2 linked regions of the Notamacropus eugenii genome follow. The protein of the gene in region 1 purifies or fractionates together with the protein of each later gene. This does not show direct contact. Links are inferred from orthologs where the notes say so. Each region holds a gene or a part of one and is shown on either strand. Other genes may lie near its edges.

Region 1 (7,927 bases):
GGTGGGCTGTGTCCCAGAGCTGAGGCTGGCAACTCTCAACAGGAGGGAGGCGCACAACTGCTGCCTATTGCCAGGCCTTTGTCTTCACCCCACAGTGGGCCAGAAAGGAGTCCAAAGCCTGCCTTTCCCTCTGCTTGGAGAGCCCCTGGCCCTTGGGTCTGATCAAGGTCATGCCTTCCCTCTGGGAGGGGCAGTTTGGTCCCCAGGGGTCCACAGCTCTGGGTGTGACACCATCCAGGGACTTAGCTGACTATTCGTGGGGTGGGGGTCTGTGGCCGGGGCAGTGGGTGGGAGCTGAAGACAAGAGGAAGGTTGTGATTACAATAGACAAAGTGGACTGCAGATTTCCAGGGAGGGGAAAGAAGGAGGGAGAGGGTCCAAAACTGGCCCAGGCCTCAGGGAAACTCAGGCCTGCCCCACCCTTCGGGATACAGAGATATAACATACTTTAGGTGCCTTTATTCCAGGGGGATCCACACAGTGAGGGATGAAAGGACACTCCCCTGCAGGGATACACTCAGGCCCCCTCTCCCCCACTCCTGCTAGGAGTTTACTGGCCACATAGCAGGGGTCCAAGGAAGTGAGTTCCAGCCAGAGGAGCCTGGGCCAGCCTGTGGGACCATTGTCCTTCTGTCTGTAGGTCTTTGGCAGAGTGGCACCAAAACTCTCCTCCCAGCCCATATGTGTCTCTCCCAGTGATCCTTCACTCATCTCTGGCCAGTGCAGCACCTCTGGAGAAGGGAACCAGCTGGATAGTTGGGACATGGGTCCCCCAGCCTGGCAGTGACTATCTTCAGCACAGCCTCAGTGTCCCGTTGAGCTGCCTTTGAGAGAGAGCCAATGAAGCTGAGTGAAAGGAAGGTGCCAGACAGGCAGACACACAGGGGTTTTCCTCCGAGTCTTCTTCCTCGAGGTGCAGGGACAGCAGACTTACGTGGGCTTTGGGGCTCACGCTGGACATCTTGGGAAGGCGTGGGATGGGCTTGTTGGTGAGGCTGAAGGATCCTGCAGCAAACAGGGAGTGAGCCGAGGGAGCCCAGGAAGGGGGTGTTCCTCCTGGGACCCAGCTCCCAAGGTTCTCACCTGGCTGGACTCAGGGCCCTGGGATCGTGGGGGCAGTGCTGGCCCGGCCTGCTGGATGAACTGCTGCAGGTTACACTGTCGGAGCTCCCTATTCAGCTCTTCCACCTCCTGGGCCTGGGCCTGGATGGGTGGGAGAGGGGAGCCATGAAGAGGCCTGATCCCTTCCTTCAGGGGGGTTGGAAGGCGATGGATCAGGCTGGCCTCACCTGCAGGCTCTGCTCGGCTTCCGCCAGGGCCCGGCCAACGCTGGCCAGGCTGCTTTCTAGTCGCTCACTCTGCAGGGCCTGGGTCTGCAGATCTCTGTGGAGTCGGGCAGCGGCAGCCTCATCCTGGGGCCTTCGGGGGCCAGGCAGCTCCTGCTGCCGCTGCTGCCTTCGCCGCCAGCTGATTTCCTCCTCCAGGGCTCGGGCCTGAGCGTCCAGCTCTCGAAGACGCCGGGCGCACTCCTCAGTGGCCGCCTGCAGTTCCCGCACCCGGCTCTGGCGCTCCAGCTCCTGCTGCACTTCCCGCCGCAGCTCTTGGGCCCAGAAGCCCTCCTGGTCCAGCTCGGCTTCATTGCTCTGGACCAGGTGCTCCAGGCCCCACAGCTCCCCTTCTACGTCCTCCTTGGCTGGGCTGGGGGAGTCATGGGGGGCGGGGGGCAGAGGCCTGTGGGGAAGGCTGGCCGGCACAGGGAACCGCTCTGGGGGCAGACAGGGGTCTGAGGCAGGCCGTTCGGCAAGACTGGGCCCTGTGCGCCGCAGGACAAACTGCACGTCACTGGCAAACTGTCCGCATGTGGCCTGGGCCCCCACGGGGCACTCCTGGGGCAACATTTGCCGCTCCTTGTCTCGGAGGCGCTGGATGAGCACATAGCGGCCAGTCTGCCCTGGGAAAGAGGAGAAGGTGGTCTTGGGGGAGGAGCCCTGGCACCAGGCACCCCCCCCCCCCCCCCAGCAGCTCAGGGGCTGCCCCGCTCACCTAGGGCTTGGGCCAGGGCGATGACCACTTCTTGGCAGGTGGTCTGCTCCGAGACGCCGCAGACCACACGCTGTACTCCGTCCACCCACACCTTCAGCTCCATGGGGGCGGGGGCAGGGCCGGGGCATCCCCGGCGGGACCTGGGGAAGGAGGGAGGGGCACCCCTCCCCGTTCAGCAGGTTGTGGGGCGCTCTGGGCTCTTCCCCCACCCCCACACCCCGCTCCCCAGAGGGGCCCCTTAAAGGCCCAGAACTCTGCTCTCCACCCCAGGGGGGACCCAGGCCATTAACCCCTGCCTCCTCAGCCCGGCTCCCGTTTGGGGGGCGGGGTCAGAGGTCAGCAGGACCTCTGACCCCCGGCCCCCAGGTCCAAAAAAGCAGCGGCTGACCCTAGCAAAGGTCACCCCAGCAGGAGAACCCAACAGTTCAGAGCATACCGTCGGAGCCTCTCCCCGCAGATCCAAACCGACCAACCTAGCTCCAGCTCCGGCTCGGCTCGGTTCGGGCTCCGGCAACCCCTCCCCGCAGCCCCACGCCACGGCGTGATTGGCTGATTCTGCGAGCCCCGCTCCACCCAGCGCCCCTATTGGCCCTACGCCTGTTGTCCCGCCCCCGCCCCACCCCGGGCGCCCATTGGTCGCAGTGGTGAGCTCGCCCCGCGGTCCCACGCCTCACCCTTATTGGCCGGATGCCTGTTGCCCCACCCCACCCCACCTAGAGCTCCCGTTGGCCACTCACGGACTCCGGCCCCGCCTCACAGCCCTACGTCAGGCATCTATTGGCTGGAGAGCCTGGCTCCGCTCCCACGCCTCCAGCCGGGTCTGGTTTACCTGGTTGTCGCCCCGCCCCGCTTCCATCGGTCACAGGTATGGGAGGGGCTTGGTGTAGTCACGTGGTTCGGTCACCTCCCCAAACTCCAGGGGTCGTGGCTCGCGGCCTCTCGGAAGTCCGCGGTCAAAGTCGTCCTCCAATCCGGACGCCTGGGTCCCCTTGCCCGTGGCGTGGGGGAATGGTTTTCTCGTTGCCCGGTTTGTCACTTCTGACCTTTGACCAAGCCACGACTTGTCCGGAGGAACTTGATTTCCGGGTACCTGTTCGGAACGGTGGGCCTCACCTCTCCGTCCATTGGTCCCTCAGCAGCCGACCCGCCCCTTCTTTGCCGTCCTCCCATTGGCTTTTGTCTCATCTCCCACCTTTCCTACCGCTCCCGCTCCCGCTGCGCGTCACTGGCTGTTGCCTTGAAGCTGAGTGGGGGCAAGGTGGGAGAGGTGGGACAGCGGCGGGGGGCGGAGCTTACGGCGCGGCCGCCGCCTTCGGTCTGCGCACGCGCGGCTTCGGGCTCGTTTGGATCCATTTGTCACAGTAGCCATTGGCGCCCACGTGGTGTCCTCTCCCCGCGAATTATCCTGAGGCCCCGCCCGACACTCCTGGCGGAGCGCCAGGGCTTGTGGGACCGGCCGGCGGCGCGTCTCAGACGCGGTTCTTGGGTGCTGGGTGGTGGGGGAGGATGAGGGGTCTCAGAAAGGGAAGAGGGGAGCGAGAGGGGCCTGAGATGGAGAGGCAGAGGGGGGCTGGGCAGGGGAGGTGTGGGGAAGGGGCGCTGCGAGAGGGCTGGAAGAGGGGTTGCGCACTCATCCTGGGGGGCATCACCCGGAGCGGCTGCCCCTCTCCAAGGCTACTCGTGGGACCTCGAGGTGGAGGGAGAGGAGCCTCAGACCCTGTGCTAACACGGTCCAGGGTGTTCAGGGAGGTCCGGCCGCTGGCTCCCAGATGCTGTGGCACGTGGATCCGCCCCACTGAGGGTAGAGGTAGGGGGTCGTCTCCCCCAAGCACCTGAAGACTTCCCCAGGGGAATGGGCAGACAGGAGCAATCTGCCCTGAAGGCTGCTGAAGCAGGCGCTGCCGAGTGCTTGGGTCTGCCTTGACTTTTGTCGTGCTGTTGGACTCTGATGACTCTAGAAGAGAGAGTGAGTGCAGCTCTACTTCACTGAAATGCAGTTCAGGCCAAGTGAAGACATCACCCCCCCCCAACTGCCTTCTATAAAACCCCAGCTCAAGCGTTACCTCCTCCACGAGTTGTGTGTGTTCGTCCTTCCTTGCTGAAGAAGACCACCCATCGGAGAAATGATGACATGACTTGCACTGGACTTTATGTTGAGTGAGGGAGGACTGTGCAGGTCACCAGCCTCACTTCTCCTCCAGAGCCATCTGAATCCAGTGACCAGATACTCATCAGTATGACTGGACATGACCCAGGATGAGACAGCTGGGGTTAAGTGACTTGCCCAAGGTCCAAGAGTTAGAGGAAGAAGGAAATAAGCATTTATTAAGCACAGTCTGCCGTGTGCCAGGCACTGTGCTAAGGGCCAGCCCCTCTCCTCGATGTACTCCCAATTTAATGGAGGTGACAACCTGCAAACACTTGGGTATAACTGAGCTGTAGACAGGCCCCGTTGGAGACAGCGGTGAAGGCACTATATATGTATATACTGGATATACTTTTTTTCACATCCAGATTATTTCCCCTATTAGACCTCAACCCTTTTTTATCTTTGGAATGGTATCTGGGGCTGATGGGGTACAAGCCCAAGCCGAGACCTTTGTCTCTTGGAGTGGGAGGGTTTTGGTCCCATTTGTCTGAAGGGCCTCGGAAAGCCTGGCCTTGGGGGGCTCCTTGGATTCCCCTTACTTGATTTAACATTCTCATGATTCCTCCCTTCCTGCCACTTCTTAGCATTCTCTTGAGGTCCCAGTGGCCCAGCCAGGATTGTGGATTGTCTGGACTGTGGGCCACTCCCATCAGGATCCTCCCTGGGTTTGATTTATATTCCAGGCTGACCTCCCCTGTCCAGACTATCCCTGGGACCTGAGACTGCTTGGCAAAATCTGGATTCTCCCCTCAGTCTTTTTCTGTATTTAAGTGCCATCTCGCCTCCATGAAGGTGCTTAGATTCAATCCAGCTCAAACTGTCTAGCTGAGATTCTATCTGGCCTGCTTGTGAATATAAGTGTTACAAATACTTAGGCTCCTTAAGAGTCAACCCAATATGTTGAATTTTTCATAAACGTTGTTTTTCTTTGGCTTTAAGAAGGCTTGTGTTGAATTCTTTTGAGCAGGACCTGGCTTGTTGGTATTTTGTGGTTCCTAGCACCCCAAACCTCAACAGTGTGTAGTAGGTGCTTAACACATTTGCTGATTGCTGAGGACAATTCAGTGGATGTATGGTTTTCATTTTTTAGCTCTCCCCAGGGAAAGGGAAGGGTCCCAGCATCGTAGGACACATGGTTGACAGAGAAGCAGGGCACTGCTTTTGTTTTCTTAGCCAAAGACTGCCAACCTTAGGGCTGCAAGAAGAGACCCCGACTGGACCAAGGCAGCCACCTTGATTGAGGCACTATCCTGCTCACCACAGTGCCTTTTCTAGACAGCCCCTAGTCATTCTGATGCTACTGGCTCCATCTGTGTATGACCTACAAACACGCCCCCAACCCTGGAAAAAGAACCTCTTTCCTGATCCCTACCGTCTCTAGCTGCCCCTACCCCCTTCTCTTTTTCTTTTTGTGGCTGAATTCCTGGAGAAAGCCATCTACAACCAGCATTGCCACTCCTCACTCTTCTGTTCACATCATTTGATTAAATCTGCCCTCCTCAAGTCACCAATGATCTCGTAAATGACCTTCTACCCTCAGACCCCCTGGCACTTTCTCATCCCCCAGCCACCTCTAGGACTAACGACGAAATCTTTTTTGGCCTTAAAAGCATTGTCTCTTTCTTCCTTACACTCTAGGGTCCAGGGGCACTGGCCAGCTTGTGTTTATTCCATTTCTGGACTCTGCCTTTGCATCTCCAGCTTCCCTAGCTAGCTTCTTCCAAGTGTCTACTGAAAGACCCCTTTTCGGATGGCCCTTCATGCTTTGAGCTTCTGGCCACTCATACAAAGTTCGTTCTATGTTGTCCCCCCTTTAGACCAGGAGCTCCTTGAGGCCAGGGACTCTTTTCCTTTTCTTTGTATCCCCTGGGCTTGGTGTGATGCCTGGCACATTGGAGATGCTGAATCAATTCTAGCTGATCCATCATCACGTCTCTAATGGTTCTTCCTGGGTGGCTGTGTCCTCTACCTGGCTGCTCCCCATGTCTGGAGCCACCTCTGAGGAGACCCAGCAGAGAGCAGCTCTAGCTGGGGGAGGGACAGTTAGGGAAGGAGAAGGGGGGAATCTCAAACAGAGGAGATTCTTGCTCCTCCAGACTTCCCCAGAAGAGGCCAAACTGAGCAGGCTGGCCCTTCTGCTGGTGAGCTCCCTCTAGGATAGCCTCCTTCTTCCCAGTTCCACCCCTGCTAGAGCCTAGTGTGCCAGAAGGAACAATTGAGGCATATGAAATGCTGGAGCACAAACAGCCCCTCCTTCTGGGGCCTTTGGGGCAGGAGGTGGCTCGTAACCGTGGAAACAGCAACAAAGCCTGGGCTCCAGAACCCTGAGCTCACAGTCTGCCTCAGGTGAGGGGGGAGGGGTAGTTGCCAGAGCTGGATAATTGAGAGGGAAGATTGACCACCAGCAGCCTCTGGTTCAGTTTGGGGGGGAGCAGAAACCTGAAACTCTGAGGCAGTTTTCTCATCTGTAAAATGGGACTAAGGAATCCTGCCACGCCTCGCTCCACTAGAGCTGGTGGCATCTGGGAGGACCCCCAGGGATTGGGACACTATACAGGCGGCTGGAGAGTCTGTCCCCTCTTCTGCTCCGTAGGTGGGCACCTCTAGTCGGCTGCAGCAGCCCAGCCTGTCTCCCAGGCGGCTCCCCCCAGGAACACCAAGGATGGCTGGGCAGCCTGTGGAGCAGGGGGGAGATGCCTCCTCCAGCCTGGAGCAGCTGGGAAGTGACTTGGGACAGGGGCTCCAGGTCCATGACCCCTCTTGGACCATCTCCTGGCCCTCCTTCATGTGGAGCAGCGACTTCCTGGAGGCCACAGAATCCGGAACAATGCCTGAAGGTGCCAATGGCAAGTTGTCTTCTGTCTCCTTCTTGATGTCTCCCAACAGCCAGAAGTAAGAGCCCTAATGGAGGGTCCAGGGGCCGGGGCAGGGAGTCGGGGGGGACACCAGGGCTGGAATGTAAGGCCTCTGCTACTGGGGCTAGAGTCCAGGAGGTCCCGGCTGAGCATTCAAGGCCAGGATCGTGTCCAGCTCTGGAACCTGGGACCAGTGCCAGGGTTCAAGGGCTACAGATATGGTGGTTACAGTTGCCGTTTGGAGCACCTGGATCCAAAAGTCTTGAGGCTGCTGCTGGCTCAAAAGGAGCTGGAAATTGAAGCTCTTCGGAAGGCTGCTCAGTGTCCATCTGGAAAGCGGATGACTTACATTCTCCATGAGCTGACAGACTCGAAGCCAGAAAGGTCTGTAACCCTCAGGGCCCCCTTCCCCATCAGGCTTCTGTCCCCTCCCTGTGTACCTTCCTCCCACACACCCCTGCTCTGACCTTCCTACAGGACCTCCCGGGAGCAGATCAAAGCCTTGCAGCAGCAGATTGACAAGATGACTCAGGAGCTGAGTGCCCAAAAGGAGCAAGCCTGCCAAGTGTGTCTCTTCTGTAGGCCTGAGGCTCCTGAACCTGGACCAACCCTCCCACCCCAGTCTGCTGGGCCTGGTACCCCCCCACCCCACCCCACCCCCGCCCCCAGTCTGCTGGGGCTGGTGCCCTCCTCCCCCCAGGCTGGCTGCTCTCTCCAGGTTGCAGAGTTGTTCCTCCCCCTGGGGCCGCTGGGCCTGGGGCTCTGCAGACCCTTTCTCATCTCTCCCTATAGGAGAAGACAGAGCTGGAGAATCAGCTTCAGGAGGCCCATGCACGCCTGCGGTGCCTGGAGGATGAGGTACAGACCTTCCAGCGGTCAT
Region 2 (7,716 bases), on another chromosome or scaffold:
TCTTAAGGGTCAAAGGCAGGATTTGAACCCAGGTTCTTTTCCATTTTTTTTTCAGATAGGACATCTTCTAAACAATCTGAGACTCTCAAGGCAGGGCTTGGACAGTTTCTTGGCCTTCTTCACTATGTTCCTGAAGGCAATCTTGGGACTGCCACAGCTCAAAGACACTTTAAATCTTCCATTCTGCAAGAGGCCTTTCCTAGTATCCTTCCCTGTCCCAGATGCAAATACCACCCCCTCTCAGTTTTGAAATGCTTATGGACTGACCCACTAAGCATCCCTCCTGCACAGTTGAGAAGCCAGTACCACCAACAGGATATATACTTTGATATGCTACTTCTTCTAGCAGTGAGGAAAGTTGGTCCCCAACCAGCCACACTCTCACCCTTTTCATGTTCAAGGACACACACATGCAAGTTAACTAGCCAAAGATGCCATCTCTGCTCAGGGAAAATGTTTGGCTATGGGGTGGCAAGCCAGCAGCCTCCTCCTCACTGAATATTAACCAAGTGAGCTAACTAGTTGTGACAGAGACACTCCAGCTCTGGGAGAAGGGGGACACAGTGGGACAGTGACACTCAGCCTCGGGCAATGGTTCTGTGATATCTAATGAATCCAGAGGAGACAGCTGCTCAGTCCTGGCTCAAGAAGGCAGCTCCACTGAAGCAATTTGGAGGACTTATGCCCACCATTACATAACATAATCTACCCTCCCATGTCTGCTAGTTTATACAAAGAACAGAGAGACAACTAAACCATACAGCAGTTACAGTGTGGGATTTGAAGTTAAGAAACCTGAGTTTTAATCTTCCCTCAGACACTTACTAATTGTATGACCCTGGTAAATCACTTGACCTGTGTTTGCCTCAGTTTCCTCATCTGTAAAGTGGGAATAATGCTATCACCTGCCTTGTGGTGATAGCATCAAATGAGAAAACACATATAAAATGCTTTGTAAACCTAACATACTATTATTGGTGGAGTAGAGAAGAGGAGATTTCACCACACAGGGAAAGTAGCAAATTTCAAGGAAGGATTAGTTCTAAAGTCTGCTTCACATACAAGCAAGTACACACACACACACACACACACACACACACACACACACACACACACACACACACACACACACACACACACACCCCTTCACTTCCTCTCACTCCAGCCATGTACTTTGCTCCAACAATCTCCCTGAAATATTAATGTCTCTTCCCAGGAGGCTGAACAGGAGCCATCCTGTGGACAGATGGAAGGATTTGTAGAAAGCATTTCAGAGACTCCACCAATCCCGATCCTGGACACGTGAGATGAGAAGGTGGTTAGAGTATCAATGTATCTCAAACTGTTACAGGGCAAATCCCCAGGAAAAGCTGCAGACAGTAGAATAATGTCCAAAACCCAGCCAGTGGTCCATTTCTTTCAAATATTCTCTCTTGCAACAACAGCACCAAAGATCAGTAACAGCTAATATGATAATAAGTGATAATAATATAAAAGTAATCACATTTATAAAGCATGTTAAGGACTGCAGAGAACTCTATCTATGTTATTCTCATTCAGTGATCAGAACAATCCTAAGATACTAAGACAAATAAATAGTCCCTACTCTCTTCTGTGAGAAGCAGTAGGTAGAGTGCTGGGCCTAGAGTCAGGAAGACCTGAGTTCAAATTTGACCTCAGACTCTTAATGTAAAAATGGGGATAATAATAGCACCTATCTCCCAGGGTTATTATGAGAATCAGATGCAAAGAAAAAACACTTTGCTAAGCTAGGTACACTGTATTCACATAACATGCTTACAAATGTTATCTCATTTGAATTCTCACAGCCTTTAAGGGTGGGTACTATTATTTCCATTTTATAGATGAGAAAACTGAGGCAGACAGAGTGACTTGCTCAGAGTCATACAGTTAGCAAGTGTCTGAGGTAGGATAGGTCCAGAAAGGAGATTATGAAAAAGTAAGAGATGTCAATTAATTTTTTTAAAATTCAAGACTGTATCGAATCTTTGTCTTTTTCCTGTCATGGTTGGTTCTGGCATAAAAATGTCAAACAATGAGTGTCCCTCTCCTCTGTCCCCCAGCCAAGAACAGCAGCCTCAGGTTTTCTCACCATTAAGGTAGTATCTATCTTGAGTTCCTCACCTAGTTAATCAAATTCTCCACGTGCAAAGGGAGCACAAGAAACTTTCTCTGCAGGTGAGTTACACAACCAGACCAACTTCAAAATGCGCCAAGCCTATGTGGTGACCTTGGCAGGCTTGGGAGGCTCCAACTCAGAAGAGTGTTAAGACTCCTTGTAATTTGGTAGATTGCACCCAGTTCTCCATCCAACAAAAATTACGGGCTTCTTGCTACGTATAGTGCTAAATTCATCACATTCAGACATGAGCTGTCTTGCAAGAACAAGCCAGCTGTGCACGGCTGTGCACACTGGAAATGTTTGGGGCAAGGCCCATACAACCTCTATTGAAAAACAACAGCATGCCTTGGAAAAGGCATGCAAAAAACGGCTAGCTGTGGGGCTGTTAAATTGTTCCCATTTAACAGAGAAAGACCATGAGACACTGGAGAAAAAGGCAAGTGATTCTTTCTTGGTGCCAGTTGGTGGTGAGGTTGGGCCTGGCTGCAACCCCTTAACCTCCAAGCTTTAAAGACAAGGGAGACATATACCCAGATTATATTGTACAAATATAAACACTGCAGTTTCCTGGTCAGAAAATGAATGCCACTGTATTTGGTTTTTTTCCGAAAATGAATCTTCATTGCCCTATCTTTTTTGCTTTCTGCAAATAAGTCTTCCTCCCTCCTCGTTTCTCCCTCCTCCCCCATCCTCCTTAGCCCAGACTCATCCCAGGCTGTGTCTGAGAACAGTGGGGATTTTTAGGATAGAGAGTGAAGGAACAAGAGAATTTCACTTCTCTTTCCTTAGAATGAGGTGAATTCAGCAACTCTTTATTTATTATCTCCAGGGGGGCAAGGGACACTTGGGACCCTTCTTGGAATTCTGCCTCACTCTGGGAAATAATGAGGTGTCTTTGCCCCATGGGCAGTTTGCAGGAGTGGGTTACTGAGAGGAGAAAAGAGGGGATGGAGGAAGGGAGAGAAAGATTGAGGAAAGGAGGGAAAAGAAACAGAAATGCAAAGGGAAAAAAGGGAGAATCAGAGGAGAAGGGAAGCGGGGAAGGAAGAAGGGAAAGGGGGGGGAGAGACAAGAGACAGAGAGACAGAGAGGAAGGAGGAGGAGGAGGGGGGAAAGGAGATGAGAAGCCGACTAAAAGAGGGGGCAAAAGTGGGAAGGAGAGGGAGCAAAAAGAGGGGAATAGAGGAGAGGGGAGAAGAGGGAAAAAAGAAAGAGTAAAAGAGTGTAATAAAGGGAAAGAAAGGGAAGGAAAAGAGTGAAGAAAAAGAAAAGGGGAGGAAAGGACAGAGAAAGACAAGGAGAGCCAGAGGCAGACAAAAAGGAGGTTCTTAAGTGACTTTAGTCGCCCACGTGCTCTCGCCCAGCCCGGCGCCCTTTCCTCAGACCCTGGTTCTCCTCTTGGGCCAGCCCAGCGAAGCCCCCTCGCCTTGTCCTCTGACAGAATGGGGGCATTGAAAGCATTTGCTTTTCTTCTGTACCATCCAGCCCAAAGTCCGAGCCACAGAAAGGAGGAGAAACCCTCAGCAGGGCTACGAGGCTGGACAGGGGCAGGCCTGAGCCCCCAGAGAAACAATCCACCCCCTTCCTCTTTAATCCTGACCCAGGCCAAATGCGCTGCGCTTGGGGATCCCAAGGATGCAACGGAACCTCCGGACTGTGGGGAGGGAACACCACCAGGCTGGACAGCACCAGCAGTCCAGAGCCGCTCCCGTGCGCCTCGGGCTCAAAGGGCCCGTGAGAGTTGGGAAGAGGAGCCCCAGAGCTGGGGCAGCCAACTCCAGCTCCACCATCCCTCCCAGGTCCCTGTCTGCCCCGCGCGGCTTTTCGAAATCCCTCGCTAGCTGGGGCCCTATTTGTTCCCCGGTTCGCGGAAGGACCCGGCGCAGAGCGCTGAGCGACGCGTCTCACTCCCCCCGCCCCCTCCTGCCTCGCGCGCCGAGTCCCCGCCCCCTTCCCCTTTGGCCCTAGCCCCCATAAAGAGGTCCCGGCCGCTCTGCCGCGCTGCTCCCGCGTATCCATACGCCGCCCGAGGCTGGCTGAGGAGTCGGCGGCCATTTTGTCCCTCTCGTGGCTCCAGCGGGAGAGAAGGAGGAAGAGGGAGCCTGGGGGGGGGGAGGGAGGGGACGGGAAGGGAGCCGGCCGCCGCCTCCTTCGCCGCCGTCTCCACCGCCGTCTCCACCGCCGCTTCCCCCGGTGCCTCCGCCGCCACTGCCGCTTCTCTGTGCTCTGGAGCGTGGGGAAGGGGCGGACGGGACCGTGAGTCCGGGGGCTGGGGGGCGGGCGGCGGCGCCGCCGCTGCTGCTGCTGCTGCTGGGGCCGAGCCGGGCCGAGCCGAGCCGGGCCGGGCCGGGCCGGGGGGTGGGGGGAGGGCCGGTGAGGAGGCGCCGCCGCCGCCGCCGGGGCCGGGGTGCAGGAGGAGGCGATGGCGGATATCGACAAGCTTAACATCGACAGTATCATCCAACGGCTGCTGGAAGGTGAGCTGCGGACGGGGCTCCGGGGCTGGGGGCTCCGGGGCTGGGGGGTCCTGGGGCTGGGGGCTCCGGGGCTGGGGGGCCAGGGTGGCCGTGCACGGCGGGGTTAGGGGGTGCTAGGCTCCCGCGCCCGCCGCTGCCCCGGGGGGCTCTGGGCTACCCCCGGCCGCCTGGCCTTGCAGGCTGAGATGGAGGGGGGGCACCAACAGCGAGAGCTCCCCGAACACCCTGAGCCCTCCCTGGGGAGTGACGGGGGGGCCCCCTCGTTCATGACCCCCGCCGGCGATCGAGGGGACGCACGGACACGTCCTGGATGCTCTGCCCCAATCCTTGCTTTCGCTCCCCCCGACACCCCCCCCCCCCAACCCCCGGCCCCTTGGCTTTGAATTAGAAACCGAGCTGTGAAGTAACTCCTGCCCCCCGCCCCCCGCTTCTCCTTGGCGGGTCTCTGCAGACTTTTCTGTGAGCTTGGCTAGGCTCGTCCAAAGCCGCAGGACGGCGTGTTCCGTCCCCTTCTGCTGGGGCGAGCGCCGGGTTTCTCGTAGTGGCCTCCACAAAAGCCGTTTTATGGGGTGGTTGGTTCACTAGGTTTCTAGGTTTGCGGGCTTTTGTCCAGCCCACCCTCTTTCCCTCCCTCCCCCCGCAGACCTTAGCCCTGGAGAGTATTCTTTCTAAAGTTTATAGTCGAGAGACCTGGACTTTAATGACTTCACCTTCTCTCCCCACTCCCTGCTTTAAAAAAAATACAATTCCGTTGAGTAAGTAGGCACTTATTTCACTTCTGGCATAAAACCTGAACCAAGGAGGGAAAAAGGTTCTGTTTGTTTAAGAAAAAAAATAGGTGATTCCTCCCCCCCTCCCCTTCTTGTAATAATTGAGGGCTAAAATGCACTAGTTTTGACTTGACTAAAGGATTGGAGATCGATGTAAGGAAAAGATGCGAAGCATTTCAGTAAAGCAGCCGGAGATTCAGGGCATATGAAACAAGGCTAACATTTTATCCAGACTTTCGAAGAGCTCTTGGCACTAAGTAGTCCAGCTTTGCTAAGTTTCCTGTGAAGTGCTTATCGGCCGTCCTCTTAAGAGGTTCTTTGTAATGTGAATGTTACTGGTGCTGAGGGGAGAAAGTAAAGAAGCGCATGAACCGTGTGGCATTAAAATTCCCATCTCTTTGGGGGCAAATGACCTACGGGTAATGACCCAAATGAAATTTTGTTTTCCTTCGAATAGCTTCTTTTTAAACAACAACCAAAAACCCACCTAACTGAATGTGTATGTATCCCCTTCAGTGTTGCTGACATGTTGCTACTGTTAGATGTGAGCTCTTTGTCTTGATGTTTGTTAAAGATATTTTACCAGATGAGATGATTCCGTTTTTATGAGTGTTCAGTGTAGTTCTTTGCTTACATGAAATTGCAGTTTTCCCTTGACCAGAAACCGATGAAAGCTAGATTGCATTCTCTGATGAGCAAAGAATCTGTTTAAATATCTGAAGTTGAAATTGGATAAATGGAAGAAATTGAATTCTTTCTTTTTCCTCTTGTTCATTTGTTAGGCTGGTGGGTTGCTCTTCAAAGATAAACTCTCCAGTATTTACTTTGTCACTTAAAAGGTCTTCATGTGATACTTTTATGAGTTACAGGCCTAAAACCTAGAGTCAAAGTTAACCTGTAAATGATTAAATTATGATTATTCTGTCTTTAATATGTTTTATTTATTAATGCAGTTTTTTATACCAGCATACTTGCATATTGCCTTTGGAAGCCTCATTTTACATTTCCTTACCTGTCATTTAGAAAATCTGTCATTGCAAAGCTCGTCTTGTCTCATGTAGCATGAGTTGATCATTTAACTAAATGTAATAAACTAGTATTTCCTTAATGCTTAGGTGCTGGGGAAGGCCAGCACATGAATATTTAAATAACCTGTAGCATATGCTTGGAATCAGCACTTGGGCAGTGGCTCACCATCCAAGTAGGAAGACTTAATAATGAAGTTTAGTAAGATTTTTTTGTGTGGTGGGGTTTTTAACACACACACACACCCTCCTTTTTTTAACCGTTGAGATATGTCGGGAAATAGGAAGAAAATGCTTTTTCAGCCAGTACTAGATTTCCCTCCTTGAGGCAGATCTTTTACATATTCAAAATGGACAGGCCTTTAAATTGATTTAGAAAGTTGCATGCTTGTAAGGATGATGGTGTGTGGCTCTGCAAAACCACTCCACAGTAGAGAAGCCAACTCAAAATGGATGACTTCCTTAGGTTGGCTTCAGGGTCAGTTCTTCGCAGAAGAGTTTTAATTTTAATTTATGTGAATTTTGTCAGTTTGGTTTTAGGGGTACTAAGCTTTTTCATACTATTTTTTTTCCGTCTCAGGAATGGTATTTTACATGGAACAGAAGTTGATGTGTACAGATAGTATTTTGTAAACAATCAACAATGAAGTAACTTTTGACATTAGTAGCATTCCATTTTTTAAGCTATTGTAAGATGAAGAAAAATAAACTTGCTAATAATTTCAGTAAAGGCTTGGGGATACTTGCATGTTTAAGAGGTGCACTCAGCTCATTATACTAAGTAGCAATTGTGCTTTATAAAGCATAAGATGTGCACATTAAACTCAGAACCTTTGCTCATGGTTTCTAATGGTAGTTGCCACATTTTCCTGGAAACTTAGAATGGACTGTTTATTTCTCTTTTATCAGTGGAGGCAAAATTTCTTTTTCCTTTAGAGTAGTTCTTGCCCAAAGTCATGTAAACAAGTCTGTGGTCAGGGCTGCACTCAGATTAGAATTCCATGACTTGTTTTGACATCATAGATGCAGCCTTTCTCTAAAAAGGGTATCTATAATAACCTCCTTCTGTTTAATCCTTTGAAAGCTTCCTCCTGAATAAGTACATTGGTTATATTAATAACATTAACGTACATTGGAGCAGTCATTTCTGAGGTGGAAATTCTAAAATGAAATTTCAGTTTTTAGAGCATCAAGTACCATTTAGCACTCAAGTATTAATAAAATAGGAATACTTATTCCTGGTGAACCTTTTATTGTTTGGCATTCCAAGAAAAAAATGTTTAAGATGTATTTAGTGAGTT

The links.
Region 2: the proteins of RASSF7 (region 1) and PPP1CC purify together in Homo sapiens (affinity purification with mass spectrometry; 4 studies listed by BioGRID and IntAct, counting the BioPlex papers as one, with this or other methods). This does not show direct contact. The link is inferred for Notamacropus eugenii from reciprocal best matches to the Homo sapiens genes RASSF7 and PPP1CC.

Annotation. Positions count from the first base shown.
Region 1 is NC_092873.1:27,747,365-27,755,291, forward strand, and holds RASSF7 (ras association domain-containing protein 7), read right to left. Parts: upstream 3,217-7,927; 5' UTR 2,873-3,216; intron 2,611-2,872; exon of another isoform or gene 2,480-2,610; intron 2,184-2,479; 5' UTR 2,147-2,183; coding exon 2,044-2,146; intron 1,952-2,043; coding exon 1,290-1,951; intron 1,204-1,289; coding exon 949-1,203; 3' UTR 445-948; downstream 1-444. Other genes in the region: LMNTD2 (lamin tail domain-containing protein 2), read left to right, coding at 6,855-7,084, 7,279-7,431, 7,525-7,612, 7,840-7,927. UniProt on the Homo sapiens protein: Negatively regulates stress-induced JNK activation and apoptosis by promoting MAP2K7 phosphorylation and inhibiting its ability to activate JNK.
Region 2 is NC_092875.1:35,564,274-35,571,989, forward strand, and holds the start of PPP1CC (serine/threonine-protein phosphatase PP1-gamma catalytic subunit), read left to right. Parts: upstream 1-4,482; 5' UTR 4,483-4,565; coding exon 4,566-4,620; intron 4,621-7,716. UniProt on the Homo sapiens protein: Protein phosphatase that associates with over 200 regulatory proteins to form highly specific holoenzymes which dephosphorylate hundreds of biological targets.